Linked DNA regions of Drosophila melanogaster. The main gene of each other region encodes a partner of the protein of the gene in region 2 in a complex. Each region holds a gene or a part of one and is shown on either strand. Other genes may lie near its edges.

Region 1 (5,337 bases), on a different chromosome or scaffold from region 2:
TGCAGGCGGAGCAGTTCCAGAGCGACGTGTCGTCGGAATCACCCAGGATAATTAATCGCCGACCTCAGCGCAAGTTCAAGAATGCCATTGCTATTGCCTCCGCCACCAAGCTGGAGGACCTCCATGACGATGTGGAGGATCTGCTGGCCAAGACGGCGATGGAGACCAGCGGCCAGGAAGTGCGTCAGCAGCGTCAACCGGCCAGCCGTCGCCGTCTTTTAGCACAATCATTTGTGAAACCTCAAACAGGTTTATAGTTATTTCATTAATTCAAAACATAAATTGGTTTTAGGCATGGATAGGTTTCAAGTTGTTTAATTACTAGTGTTTTGGACTCGCATTTTCTACTATAGATAGCTATTCAACTATGGCATTCAGGAACGCCCTAGCTTTGCAAACTAACTCACCGATACCGGACCTTTTGGCCATCGCAGGATGTTGGCCCGCAGACTCATTTCGACGACATCCCTCTTTACGGCGTACAATCGGCACAGGGAAACGGTGGTGAAGTTTTCGTCCGCACTCAGGCACTCGATGTTTGTGAACTTGGCAACTCCTTGGACCTGAAGTGAGCTAGTGTTCGGTTCATAATCCCAGCCGGCCTAGCTTACGGTCGAACTTGCCTGCAAAATGTGCCACAGCCCAAACAAGAGGAATAACTCTGTCAACGTGGCCATCACTAAGTTCACCAAAGAGCCATTAAAAACTGGCAAACTGTGGCATTATAATGTTGACGAAAGTGGCAAAAGCCAGTCAAGCGAAACCATAATCGATAGATATCAATCATTACGGGCAATTATCAATTCTGTTTAATTACTTGAACTTTCGAATTGTTGTTGAGTTTTAATTAAACAAAAACGTATGGGTCTGTATCCAACAGGCAGCACTTAACTAAACTAGGCGAATGTAAACTAGATTTGGGACATGGGTGTGTGAGGAGCGTGGTGTGTGTTTATGGAATTGATTTGTTGTGTTTATGGCCCTAATCACTGGCCTCATCTTCCTCATCCTCATCGCTGGCATTGCTGTCCTCCTCGCTCTCCTCCGGTTCGCTCTCGCTCTTGGCCTTTTTCTTCTTGGCATCGCCGTCGGATGGGGGCTTGCTCTTCTTCTTGGCAGGCTCGTTGTCCTTCTCGTCGTCGGAGCTGGTGGAGTCGTCGTCCGAAATGTACTCCTTGCTCTTGAAGCCGCTGCCCGAGGTATTCGCCTTCTTGGATGGAGAAGGCTCCGTCTTGCGCTTCTTGGAGGACTTTCCACCCTTCTCGTTGTCGCTGTCACCGCCCGCTTCAGGCTTGTAGTTGCGCATCTCGTCGTGGTAGCGCTGCTTGTCCTTGGCCGCCGCATCCTCCCACTTGGACTTGTCCTTCAGCTCCTTCCACATCTCGCCGCCCTTCTTGGCGATCTCGGTAACCTTTATGCCCGGATTTTCCCTCTTGATGCTCTCGCGCGTGTCGTTCAGCCAGAGCATGAAAGCGGTGGTGGCGCGCTTGGGTTTGCCAGAGTCCTTCTTCTTCTTGGAGGGTTTCTTCTATAAAAACATATAAAAACATGTTACCATAAGCTATAATAATAAGCAAACATTACTCACTGTTCTCTCCTTCTCCTTGTGTTTTTTCTCCTTTTTCTCTTTCTTCTCGGACTTCTTCTCCTTCTTTTTCTTGGCGCCGTCGCTGTCGCCTCCGCCGCCACTAGCATCGCTGTCATCGTCCGAATCACTCTCCACGTTGCTGTCATACTCCTCGGCCACATCGGACTCGTTCTCGTTGGGCTTGAAGTCCTCATCCGTGGACTCTTCATCCGAGTCGCCATCGTCGTCGTCCTCCTCCTTTTCCCTCGCCTCAGCCTTGAGGCGAGCCAGATAGGCATCTGGTTCGTTCTCGTTGTCCGAATCACCAAAGTCCACGTCCTTGTAGCCGCTCTTGTCCTTGCCCATGTTGCTGACATGCAACTTCTTCTGTGTGATGTAGTCGAAGAGCTTGGCATACTCCTCCTTCTCGATGGAGGAGAAGATGTGAACAGTTCCGTTCTTGAGCGTCACTTCGAAGTCGAAAGATCGCGTGGATCCGCCGCTGCGGGCAAAGTTCACAGAACTAATCTCCTCAAAGCGGATATGCAGCGGTGGCTTGTGGATATAGATGAATCCTCGCTCCAGGGGATACAGATATCCAGCTGCAGCCTTGAACGAGCAGCCCACTGCAGCCGTGCCAGAGTGTCCGATAAAGTTACCGGGTCCGGTAATTTTTCGACCGATCAGCACCTTCATCACTTTGCCCATCACCTCGTACACCGGCCCGGAGATCTCTTTCTCCAGCTTGCCCTCGTACTTGTCTCGCAACTCGGCTTCCGAGAATGGCAGCTCAATGGTGGTCTCCTCATCGGGAGCAAACAGCAGGACCAGGTAGTGGTAACGCGTTTGTCCCTGCTTGATGGGCGGATCCAAGGAGAGCACAAAGAACATCTGTCGACTGTCTTTGTGGGGCAGCATGAAGAGCCGCAGCACCGAGTCCATGGGAATCTTGTAGTCGAACGTCTTGCCGTGCAGCTGGAAGAAGGTCGAGAAGATCTTGATGTCATAGCGACCGCGAGGCGTGAGGATCTGGATCTCTCTGAAAATGGCGATGGACTCGCCCGAAGCCGAGATGACCGAGGCCTTGCTCATTACGTTCTGGTGGAACTTGTCTACCGGATCCTCCTCGGCCGACTCCACGGCGGGTATGTGGAACCGCATCTCCAGTAGACCCACGGGCGCATCGTCGTTTTGGTGGAACTCCAGGGTGACCTCGTTCTTGCCGGTCACGCACTGCGAAACGTGCGACAGCGGCACCTCGAAGATGGTCTTCGACTCCTTGTCGAAGCTCAGGACGGAGCCCATGAAGCGGGCGGTGCCCCAGTTCCAGCCCTTGACGCACATCTCCTTCTCGACCATCTCCTGCGAGTAGGCAGCCTTGATAAACTTGCCCAGCTTCTCGTGCTCGCTGTCGCGGAATCCGGTGAAGCGGTGGAGCACGCCGCCTTTGGTGAACACCCTCAGTCCCCAGGTGCCCACGAACTTCTGCGAATTGATCAGGTCTATGTCCTCTGCCGAGATCTGCTCCACCTTGCCGGTCTTGGTGTTCTTGAAGATGATGTTCTGCTCGGTCATCTTTAGGCGTCCGGAACACTTTTTTGCGCGCAGGGAAATGGAAAACCTCGGTCATGCGAAATGTGACAAAATACGCCGGCTTTTTTGCGACTCACCAAGACTCCGCGCACTTCGGCGTTTATGTCGTTGTACTCCAGAGAGTCTGTCATCCTGCACTTCTTCCTCTCCAGTAACAAGATAATAGATCAACTATGTATTACGCCGCCTTGCGAAATTGTCACCAATTTACAATAATTCCGGCAGACACAAAACAACACTGCGCGCCTAATTTTAGGTTAGACGCCAGTCAGCTATATTAGAGTGACCGTATGTGTGTTTAGTATTTTTGAGTGCACTATTCTTAAATTGCAATCGATATAAACTCTTAATATTCCAATGCAGTTTCCTTTATTGTTTATATATATCTTGTTTGCAATACATGAACAATATATGAGTCATTATTAAATTGAAAAATTTTAATGGGCAAGCCAGAGCTTATTTAAAGACCATAACAATTCGCTCGATCTTTTAAAATACCAAATTGACAGTCCGAATATAAACGGTCACTTAATTCACTTGTTTACAAAATATTTACCGCATATTTTCAGAGAAATATAGTTTTAATTAAAAATTTGAAAATCCACTTAGCGTGGGGCCTTAAAACTATGCAACGCGGTAAAATTTCCTTCGGGAAAATCAAACTGAATGTAAACGTACCTCCTGCGGAGCCAAGATCCAACGAAACCGAGGCGGAAGATGCAAAGGAGTCCACTGAAGCCAGCGGAAATGGCGGAGGATTCAAGAAAATGGACAAGGAGCAGATGATTCGGCAGATCGAGGACGTGGCCGAAGATCTGGAGAGCCAGCACCTCAAGGAAGTGATGGGCATCAGTGGCTTTGGTCGCAAGGCGGCCAAGGTGTTCGACATCAACGAGCAGATAGAAAAGGCGAGAGTTACCCGCCCGGGAATGGACAAAAAAAGGGAGGAGTCCAAGCCGAAGGAGGATGACCAGAAAGACGAGGAAGAGGAGGACGTAATAGGTCCCCTACCACCAGCTGTGACCACAGACAAGGAGAAAGCCACGAAGGAATCGTCCAAAGACGAAGACTCCGATGACGATGATTATTCGTCCGATGAAGATTCAGATGACGAACAAAGCCTTGCTAAGCGCATACCCTACACACACGAGGTGCAGATGCAGCACGGTTCCCGCGCTGTCCTTGCCCTGGCTGGCGATCCCTCGGGTGCCCGCTTGGTCTCTGGTTCCATAGACTACGATATGTGCTTCTGGGATTTCGCCGGCATGGACTCGAGCATGCGTAGCTTCCGGCAACTGCAGCCGTGCGAGAACCATCCCATACGTTCTCTCCAGTACTCCGTGACCGGCGACATGATCCTGGTCATCTCCGGAAACGCCCAGGCCAAGGTCCTCGACCGCGATGGATTCGAGAAACTGGAGTGCTGCAAGGGCGACCAGTATATCTCGGACATGTCGCGCACCAAGGGCCACGTGGCACAGTTGACCTCCGGCTGCTGGCATCCATTTAACAGGGAGCAGTTCCTGACCGCAGCTCTCGACGGTACTCTGCGCATCTGGCAGGGATTGAAGTCCAAGGAACAGTTGCAGGTGATCAAGACAAGGGCGCAGGGAGGCCTCCGCACCAACGCAGCATCATGCAACTTTAACAGGGACGCCACACTCATAGCAGCGGGCTGCGTGGATGGTTCCATTCAGACGTGGGACACGCGCAAGATGTTTGTGAACACCACGCACTGCGTCAGGGATGCGCATCAGAAGGGTTCGGAGATCACCTCCATTGTGTTCTCGTACATGGGTCAGCAGTTGGCCACTCGCAGCAACGACGAGACCATGAAGCTTTGGGATCTGCGGCAGTTCAAACAGCCGCTGCATACCTGGACAAACCTGTTCTCCCGCTACGACACAACAGATTGCTGCTTTAGTCCAGATGACCGTCTGCTAGTCACCGGAGAATCGCTTCCGAAGGGCCAGGCCGAAGCGAACCTGTATTTCTACAGCACTAAGAGCTACGAGGAAGTGCAGCGGATTCCCGTGTCCAACGCGCACGTGGTGAAAACGCTGTGGCACCCAAAGCTCAACCAACTGTTCGTGAGCTGTGGCAATGGAACCATTAAGTGCTATTACGATGAGCACCGCAGCATCCGGGGCGCCAAGCTGTGCGTAGTGAAGACGCAT
Region 2 (7,139 bases):
GCCGAAACTGAAGTGCCTTTGCCGGCGCCAGCGCCTGTGGTGGCTGCAGTTGAAGCCGAAGAGGAGGATGATCTGTCCATCATTGTGGCCAGCTATATTCCAGATGATTTTGAGCTCAACGAGCAGAGCATTTACTACAAGAAGGAGGAGCCCGATGAAGTCAGGGATTCGTGCACCACATGTCCCAAGGCGACTTCCAAGACCTTCTTCACTTCGCGCAGTTTTAGCTTTCGCCGTCGGCCCAAGCCCACGCCCACTCTATCCTCTGCCTCCGCTTCCACGACGTCTCCTTCGGTGCGGATGAACTACAAGATCTGCTGCGAGCACCGGCATTCGATTCAGGGCAAGCTACCCAGGTACACGGGCTACATGTCCGAGTACGGACTGACTGCCCAGCAACTGCAGCGGCGCGACCAGCAACTGCGGCGGAAGCAGCGCTTCTCCATGGAGCAGACCATCAATCGCAACGAGCAGGAGCTGAAGAAGATGCAGGACAACGAGCGCGCCTTCACCACCTGGCTGAAGAACAAGATGCGCTATCCGATCAACAAGACCCGCAACATGTTCGATGCGCACAAAAGGCGGGGTAGTGTGGCCGCCGCCGGAAGTCCGCGCCAGCATCCCCAAGCTCATCCGCATCTGCACCAGGAGCAGGAGCAGCGCGGCGGACGGCGAAGGCGGCGGCGCGACAGCGGGGAAGTGGAGGTGCACGCCTATCGGCATCTGCTCGGCAGCTGGAACAAGTAGGAGTAATGTAGTTCTTACATTAGTTTATTATATTAATGTATCGTATTATATTTAATTTGTAATACAACTTTTGAAGCGTGACAAAAATGAGTGACGGGGGATTGGGGTGGCGGGTCCTTTAACAGATAGACAATGGTAACAGGAGAGCTAGATTACGAACGGAGTGCCACACAGGCTTGGCGACAGGAACAGCTCCCTAATGTCGCGACTTCTTCGACTTGTGCCCATTGTCGCGACTGTCATCCCGCGAGCGCTTGCGATCCTTGTCCTTGCTGCTGCTCTTGTTTCCGGACGATGAGGAGGAATGATGCTTGTCCCGGCTGTTGTACTTGTCCTTCGACGACTTCGACGGGCTTTAAAATAATCAAGGGAATTTGGAAATGTGTTAAAAGAAATTTCACAAATAATTACTCCTCTGTGGTTATCAATTTTGAGCAAGCGAGTTATGATGCTGTTCTTTTTTTTTCTTTCTTTTTATCAATTTTGCCAGACTGAACAATCATAAATAATTCAACATAAACCCAAACAGAAAGTGGTTGTAAACGGATGGAATTTGGGGTATCCCTATCCAAAACTTGCCAAGCCAACACCAGAAATAAATAATATCAACAAAAAATAACTCTTAAAAACGTCCAATTGCTTGGTTTTTTGTTCCACCAAAGAAGAAAATCAAATTTATAACGAAACTTCCAGTGTGTAATGGTTTGTGAGTGAAAAATGATATGTGAAATGCACTTGCGTTAGGCCGTATGGTTGGGTATTAAGTGTTCGGGGCTTTCGATAACAAACCTAGATGAGCTGCCATGTTTGGAGCTGGAGGACTTTAAATGCGAAGAGGACGAGGAGGAGTTCGACTTGTGCTTTTTACTGTGCGACGACGATCGAGCCTCCTCGCGGTCGCGGCGACTGTGGTGGACGTAAAATGTTGTAGAACGATTGATATAGATAAGAGAAAGGAGATCTCGGATAAGGTAACCCTTAATGGAAACCCGTCCATGATGGGATCGTGGCTCATACCTGTGCTTTGAACTCTTGCCGTGCTTCTTCGAATCGAATTTGCCGTTGCGTGGTTTGTCATCTGCGGCATAATCGTGGTTGCGGTCTTCCTCAGCAGCCTCGCGCTCCAGATCGGACCAATCCTTGCCAGATTCCTCATCAGAGCCAAGGTCCTCTGTAAATTATGATGAAAATATTAACCAACTAGAAGATATGGAATGTTTTGGGTTTGTGCATACCATCGCTTTCCTCGCTGTCTTCTGATGCCTCTGAGTACTCGGAATCTTCGTCCGACTCCTCATCCGATTCGGCGTCGGTGGGATTGTAGGCCTCGTCCTCTTCGGATTCGGCGGTTTCGTTTTCGCCTTCGCTGCCCGATTCCGGGTCCAAGAATGTCCAGCCGCCTTGTTCAAAGAATCCCTCAGGATCGTCGGTGATGGTCTTCATGATCTTTTGCCAGTTCAGGGATTGAACACCCTCCGAATAGCGGATGTCGCAGGAGCTACAGGATACTCATTAGTAAAAGTGCATTTTGCAAATGGGCAGATGAACTTACTTGAGCCACTCCTTCACGTGATCCAGCATGTTCATAGGAATGGCGTTCACCATGGCAACCTTCTTATTGTACTCCTTGAACACAAATATCATATCGAAGTTGCGCAAGTGGAACTGAACGCGCTCGAAGTGCACCAACTCCACATCGTCCAGCGTGATGACAAATGGTGGCCATTCCGTCAGATTGACCAGGGAGCCCGAGGTGGGTTGCAGCGTCACCGTGCTGCGGAAGGGTGCTCCAGGGAATCCCAACTCACGGAACGGCGTGTCGAACTCCACTACCGACTTGGTCATGGTTTCCACCTTCTCGCAGAAGCTCTTGAAGGCAGTCTTGAGCTTGTGCCGCAGCTCACGTTCTGCCTGCTCAGCAGCCAAGTCGTCGCGGTCGTGCATGTGCTGGTGCTTGCCCAGATCCGTGGTGATCTCTCCCACTTCCGTGTAGAACTGTACATCCACGTGCTTCTTTTTGCCAAACATAATGGCGTACTTCAGGTGGAAATGCAGAAGAATGATCATCTCGCCATCGCAGGGCTGGAAAAACGCGCTTTTGATGTTGTTGTACAAGATGTCCACCTTGTCGCCGCGCACGGAGATGTAGCGGAATCCATTGCTGTGCGCTTCCAGGCTGCCCGTCATGCGCTTGGTCACGATGTTGGGCCGAATGTATAGGTCCTTCAGCTTGGGATTACCCTTGTTCTGGGACAGAATGAGTGTGTCTTGCTTCACAAGATCCTCCTTTTCGCGCTCCTCAGCCTCGCGGGTCTTGAAGCGCTTCTGCACCTCCTTGATCAGCCGGAAAGCATTGTTTAGATTTGCGGATGGAGCTCCCACCTCCCCGTGTTCCTTAACATTAGAGCTGCGGTATGTACTGCAGGAAAAGTGTCTAGTTAGTGCATTCCTTAAGCAGATTTCGCACTATACTTACACTTCCTTGACAAATGTGGCCTCTGGCTGAGGATAGAGTCCGCCTTCGTTGCGACCCATTGTGGCGCCGGGATGAAAGAAGTTGATACGCAAGTACGTGTACTCGCCCTCCACCGACTGCGAGATGTTCTTGATGGTGGATATATGGAACGGCACCTGGATGCCGAACACTGGCATGATGACGGTCTCGTACTTCTTATCCACGTAAAGCTTGAGCTCCTTGACTTCCGGCTCGCGCGGCATTTGGCTGATGGACTTGTAGGAGACGGTGTTCTTGCGCACTTTCTCGACCTCCTTCGAGTTTCCCTGCCTGGCCAGCCGATCCTTGGCGCGCTCGTTCAGCTGCTGAGCCAGCTCGCGCTGGTGCTCCTTGCGCTTCTCCTCCGTGTTGATCTCGTTTCGCAGCTTTGACTCCAGCACCGCGTTGCGCTTGCTGCGGCCCAGGATCTCGGTGCCCTGATCTTCTTTAGCGGTCTTCTTGTCGTCCACATCTTCCTCGTCGCTGTCGTCCTTGATAAAGATGCCGACGTTCTTGATCTTCTTCTTGGACGGAGTCATCACACTGGCTGGGGATTGTTCGCCTACTAGCACAGTGTCTCCGATGAAGAGGGCGTAGTTCTTGCCCTCTTTGTCGGTGGCTTCGGGATTGGTCAGATTCGAGATGCCCACGTGCAAATTAAAGACCATATTCTTCTTGAGTAGCGCCTGGCATTTGGGTCCGATGACAATGGAGTTCTCCCGGAACTCTAGGCCCATGGCGAAACCAAAGCTTTTGGGCAGATTGTCCACCATACTCGGCTTCTCCTTCTTCACGAAGTCCAGGGTCTTTTCGTAGACGTCGCACAGCTTTGTGCCCGGAACCAGCAGCTTGAGAATCTCCTCCTGCACACTTACCAGAAATGTGTAGTTCTCCTGCATGGCCTCGGTGGGATTCACCAGAAAGGTGCGCGATATATTTGAGCAATACGACTTGTAGCGGGCGCCCAAGGAGCACACAATCACACCGAAGTGCAAGGGATTTTTGTCCGCCACCGCGGAGAACTTCAGGCTGTAGGCTCCTCCCGATTGGATGATGGGTGGGTAGGCCATATCGAGGAGTCTGGGATCCAGACCACTGGTGTACTTCTTCTCGCCAATGGCAGCCTCGCAGCCATCTGAGAGCTTGTTGTGTTTGACTTTCTAAAAAGGAGGTTAAAAAGGTTAATATATTAGGAAAACACATAATATTATAGCCGCCAGGTGCTCACCCTATCCGAATCAATAATGTCCATGATCTCATCTTTCAAATACTTGTTGAAAATGTCCATTGACACTAGCGATGCCTTGCGTATGTTGTTGATCTCCGACTCATCCTTGGGACACATGAGGTAGGCGATAATAGTGCTAATGTCCACATGCTCGAACTTGGACGCCGTCAGGGATTTCTTCCATGCTTCGCTGAACTCCCCGGGATAGGCGTCCTTGGCGAAGACGCCCAAACGCTTGCCCTTCTTCGAGTTTTGCAGGGCTTTGATGAGCTTCTCGAAGTTGCCCTGGTCCTTGTCCGTCTTCTCGAAGTCAAGATCAGAAAGGATTAGAGAACTTTTGGCCTGGAGCAGAAATCGAAACTCACCCGATCCCTAACAAGCAGATTGATTTCCGGAAAACCTTCTTCGGTGATGTTCTGCGTCTGCTTCAGGAATTCTATTTTCTTTTTGCTAGTGAGAAAATACACGGCATCCGAGCAAAACACTGAGATGGTGTCCGTCAGCTCGTAGCCCAGCAGCCAGAGCTGCAGGGCCATGGACTTGGAGTACATGACATCCTCTTCGACGCCCACGATGCTCATGATGCAGTCCAGATTCCTGAGCGCGTCATCGTGTCCGATGCTGGGAGCCTGCGAAAGACAAAGAGTCCGATATTATTATGCAGTAATCCTCTTTTCCCCAAACAACCTGGTCTATGGGTAATTAATTTCACCACATCTCCCAATCTTTCATTATCGTGACCCGTCTGCAGAGTCTCCACGTGCTCCCCGGTGCTCCTGCGGCCCCAAAAACACGCAGATCGCCGACCGGCGGACAGACTCACCCTCCATTCCGTGTAGAGGCGTTTCACGCGGCGCACGAACGCCTCCTTGTCCAGCACAAAGCTCGACATATTGCCGCCGGATTTGTTACTGTGTATGCGTTAACTCCGCTTAAAATGCGCTAAACGCCAGAAATTGCATTTGCAAATTCCGCCGGATAAAAAAATTGCGCGGCGACCAGATGAAGAAGAAGCAGAATAAGCGTCAGCTCGACGTGAGTGAGACCGCTCTCAAAAATACCGTAATATACCAGTTGTCAATGTAAAAATAGTGTAACCAAGCAACAGTACAGACACGTCTAGCAGGGACTCGAACCATATATGAACATTTTACGCGCTAAAAATTGGTGCACTGAAAAAAATGTTTAAAACTGGATTTAATTAAAAATGTGTCTCGCCAAAAATACATTTTTACATTAAATAAAAGACTTTGGCACAGGCTTCGTTTAAATATAGCTAATTTTATTATTGTTTTCTTCAGTATTATCAACATTTGCAATTACGTACTGTGACGGCTAATATGTGAGTTCGTTGAACTTGATTCATTGGTTTTTAGCAAAGTCTAAGAATTCAGAGCTAGTTTAATTCTTTGTGCCCGCCGGACTTTCGGCCTCATCCGGCCGGGCAACCTGCAGATACTCCTGGATATCGTAGTCGAACAGCTCGAAGTCGTATCTGTGGGGAGGAATTTTAACTTGTAAGTATGCTACCATAATCTAAAAATTTAAATGGATGACCCACTTGTAATACTCGTAGAGCTCCAGCATTTCCTGGCGTGTCAGCTGCGCATAGAACTGCTGCTGGAGCTCGTGCGTCTTGCGGCCCTTGCCCATGTTGCGCCACACGGGCGCTATCACCCGCTTGAGGCCAGTCTTTTCGATTAGATATAATTGATCCTCCGCCAGCGATTCGAACTTCAGTATCATGTCGAACCGGATGAGGCAGGGTGTGCAGAACGAGGTGGCCGCCACGAAGTGCATGTCGATGAAGCTGCCGCGCTTCACCTGGTCGAGCAGCCAGTGCACGAATTCCGGAAACGATGGGAACTTTGTGTTGGCCGCACGGGCAGCCAGTGACGGCTATTGGATAAAATACAATGTATTAGATGCATTCGATGCGTATACTTGATATTGCTATTGCAACAATATCGTGTATACGCAGTGGGTTACAGTCGAAATGCTTACCTTCTTGCGGTAGTTGCGCACAATGCTGCGTCCCAACTTATCGTGGAAGGAGTAGGGCAGGGCGAACACCATCTTGTCCCGATAGGCACTCAACAGCCGCTCGAAGGGATCGCGTGCGATGATAAAGGTCACCGAGTAGTTCTGTGCCTCACGCAGCTGTCGCCCGAAATAGAAAGAGTTTAATTTAGGTTTGAGGAAGGGGATTAAGAACTCCTTTCGAGACGCACCTCGTCGAGGGTCACCCTGGGATAGCGCTCCCTGGCCAGGTTGAGAAGGATCTTCTTGGTTTTGCGCAGATAGCTGGGCGAGTAACCGGCCAGGACGTTGAAGTTGAACATCCAGGACGATGAGGCAGCCTTAAAGACATTGCACCTGCACGGAAAATAAATAGTAAGTTAAGATCCTATTTGTCAAATCCGAATGACACACTAAAATGGAATCGTTGAAGAGTGAATAAAGGGCACACCCACCAGATAATGTGATACTTTTTGTTGACCAAAAATTCCCACGTGTTCGGCGTGTGCCACGCGTCGTGACCTGTAAATAAAACACAAGCGATCAGACCCCAATCCATTTGGCGAATCCAAAGCGAAGGACCCACCCAGGACATCCAGGCCGTAGGCGGAGCACTTGTCCTTTAGCCGCTCCCTGCGCTGGTCCATCCGC

The links.
Region 1: dre4 (region 2) and Ssrp share a complex: the UniProt entries of both Drosophila melanogaster proteins name them as parts of the FACT complex.

Annotation. Positions count from the first base shown.
Region 1 is NT_033778.4:23,805,573-23,810,909, forward strand, and holds Ssrp (structure specific recognition protein), read right to left. Parts: upstream 3,433-5,337; 5' UTR 3,292-3,432; coding exon 3,238-3,291; intron 3,161-3,237; coding exon 1,589-3,160; intron 1,529-1,588; coding exon 983-1,528; 3' UTR 789-982; downstream 1-788. Other genes in the region: CG13561 (uncharacterized protein), read right to left, coding at 408-563, 624-677; CG5539 (uncharacterized protein), read left to right, coding at 1-257; CG5543 (uncharacterized protein), read left to right, coding at 3,787-5,337. UniProt on the Drosophila melanogaster protein: Component of the FACT complex, a general chromatin factor that acts to reorganize nucleosomes. The FACT complex is involved in multiple processes that require DNA as a template such as mRNA elongation, DNA replication and DNA repair.
Region 2 is NT_037436.4:1,870,818-1,877,956, forward strand, and holds dre4 (dre4), read right to left. Parts: upstream 5,496-7,139; 5' UTR 5,362-5,495; coding exon 5,293-5,361; intron 5,099-5,292; coding exon 4,835-5,098; intron 4,770-4,834; coding exon 4,470-4,769; intron 4,402-4,469; coding exon 3,224-4,401; intron 3,167-3,223; coding exon 2,300-3,166; intron 2,246-2,299; coding exon 1,983-2,245; intron 1,919-1,982; coding exon 1,765-1,918; intron 1,654-1,764; coding exon 1,537-1,653; intron 1,101-1,536; coding exon 944-1,100; 3' UTR 757-943; downstream 1-756. Other genes in the region: CG13924 (uncharacterized protein), read left to right, coding at 1-747; CG13937 (uncharacterized protein), read right to left, coding at 5,871-5,964, 6,031-6,368, 6,474-6,629, 6,701-6,845, 6,944-7,010, 7,075-7,139. UniProt on the Drosophila melanogaster protein: Component of the FACT complex, a general chromatin factor that acts to reorganize nucleosomes. The FACT complex is involved in multiple processes that require DNA as a template such as mRNA elongation, DNA replication and DNA repair.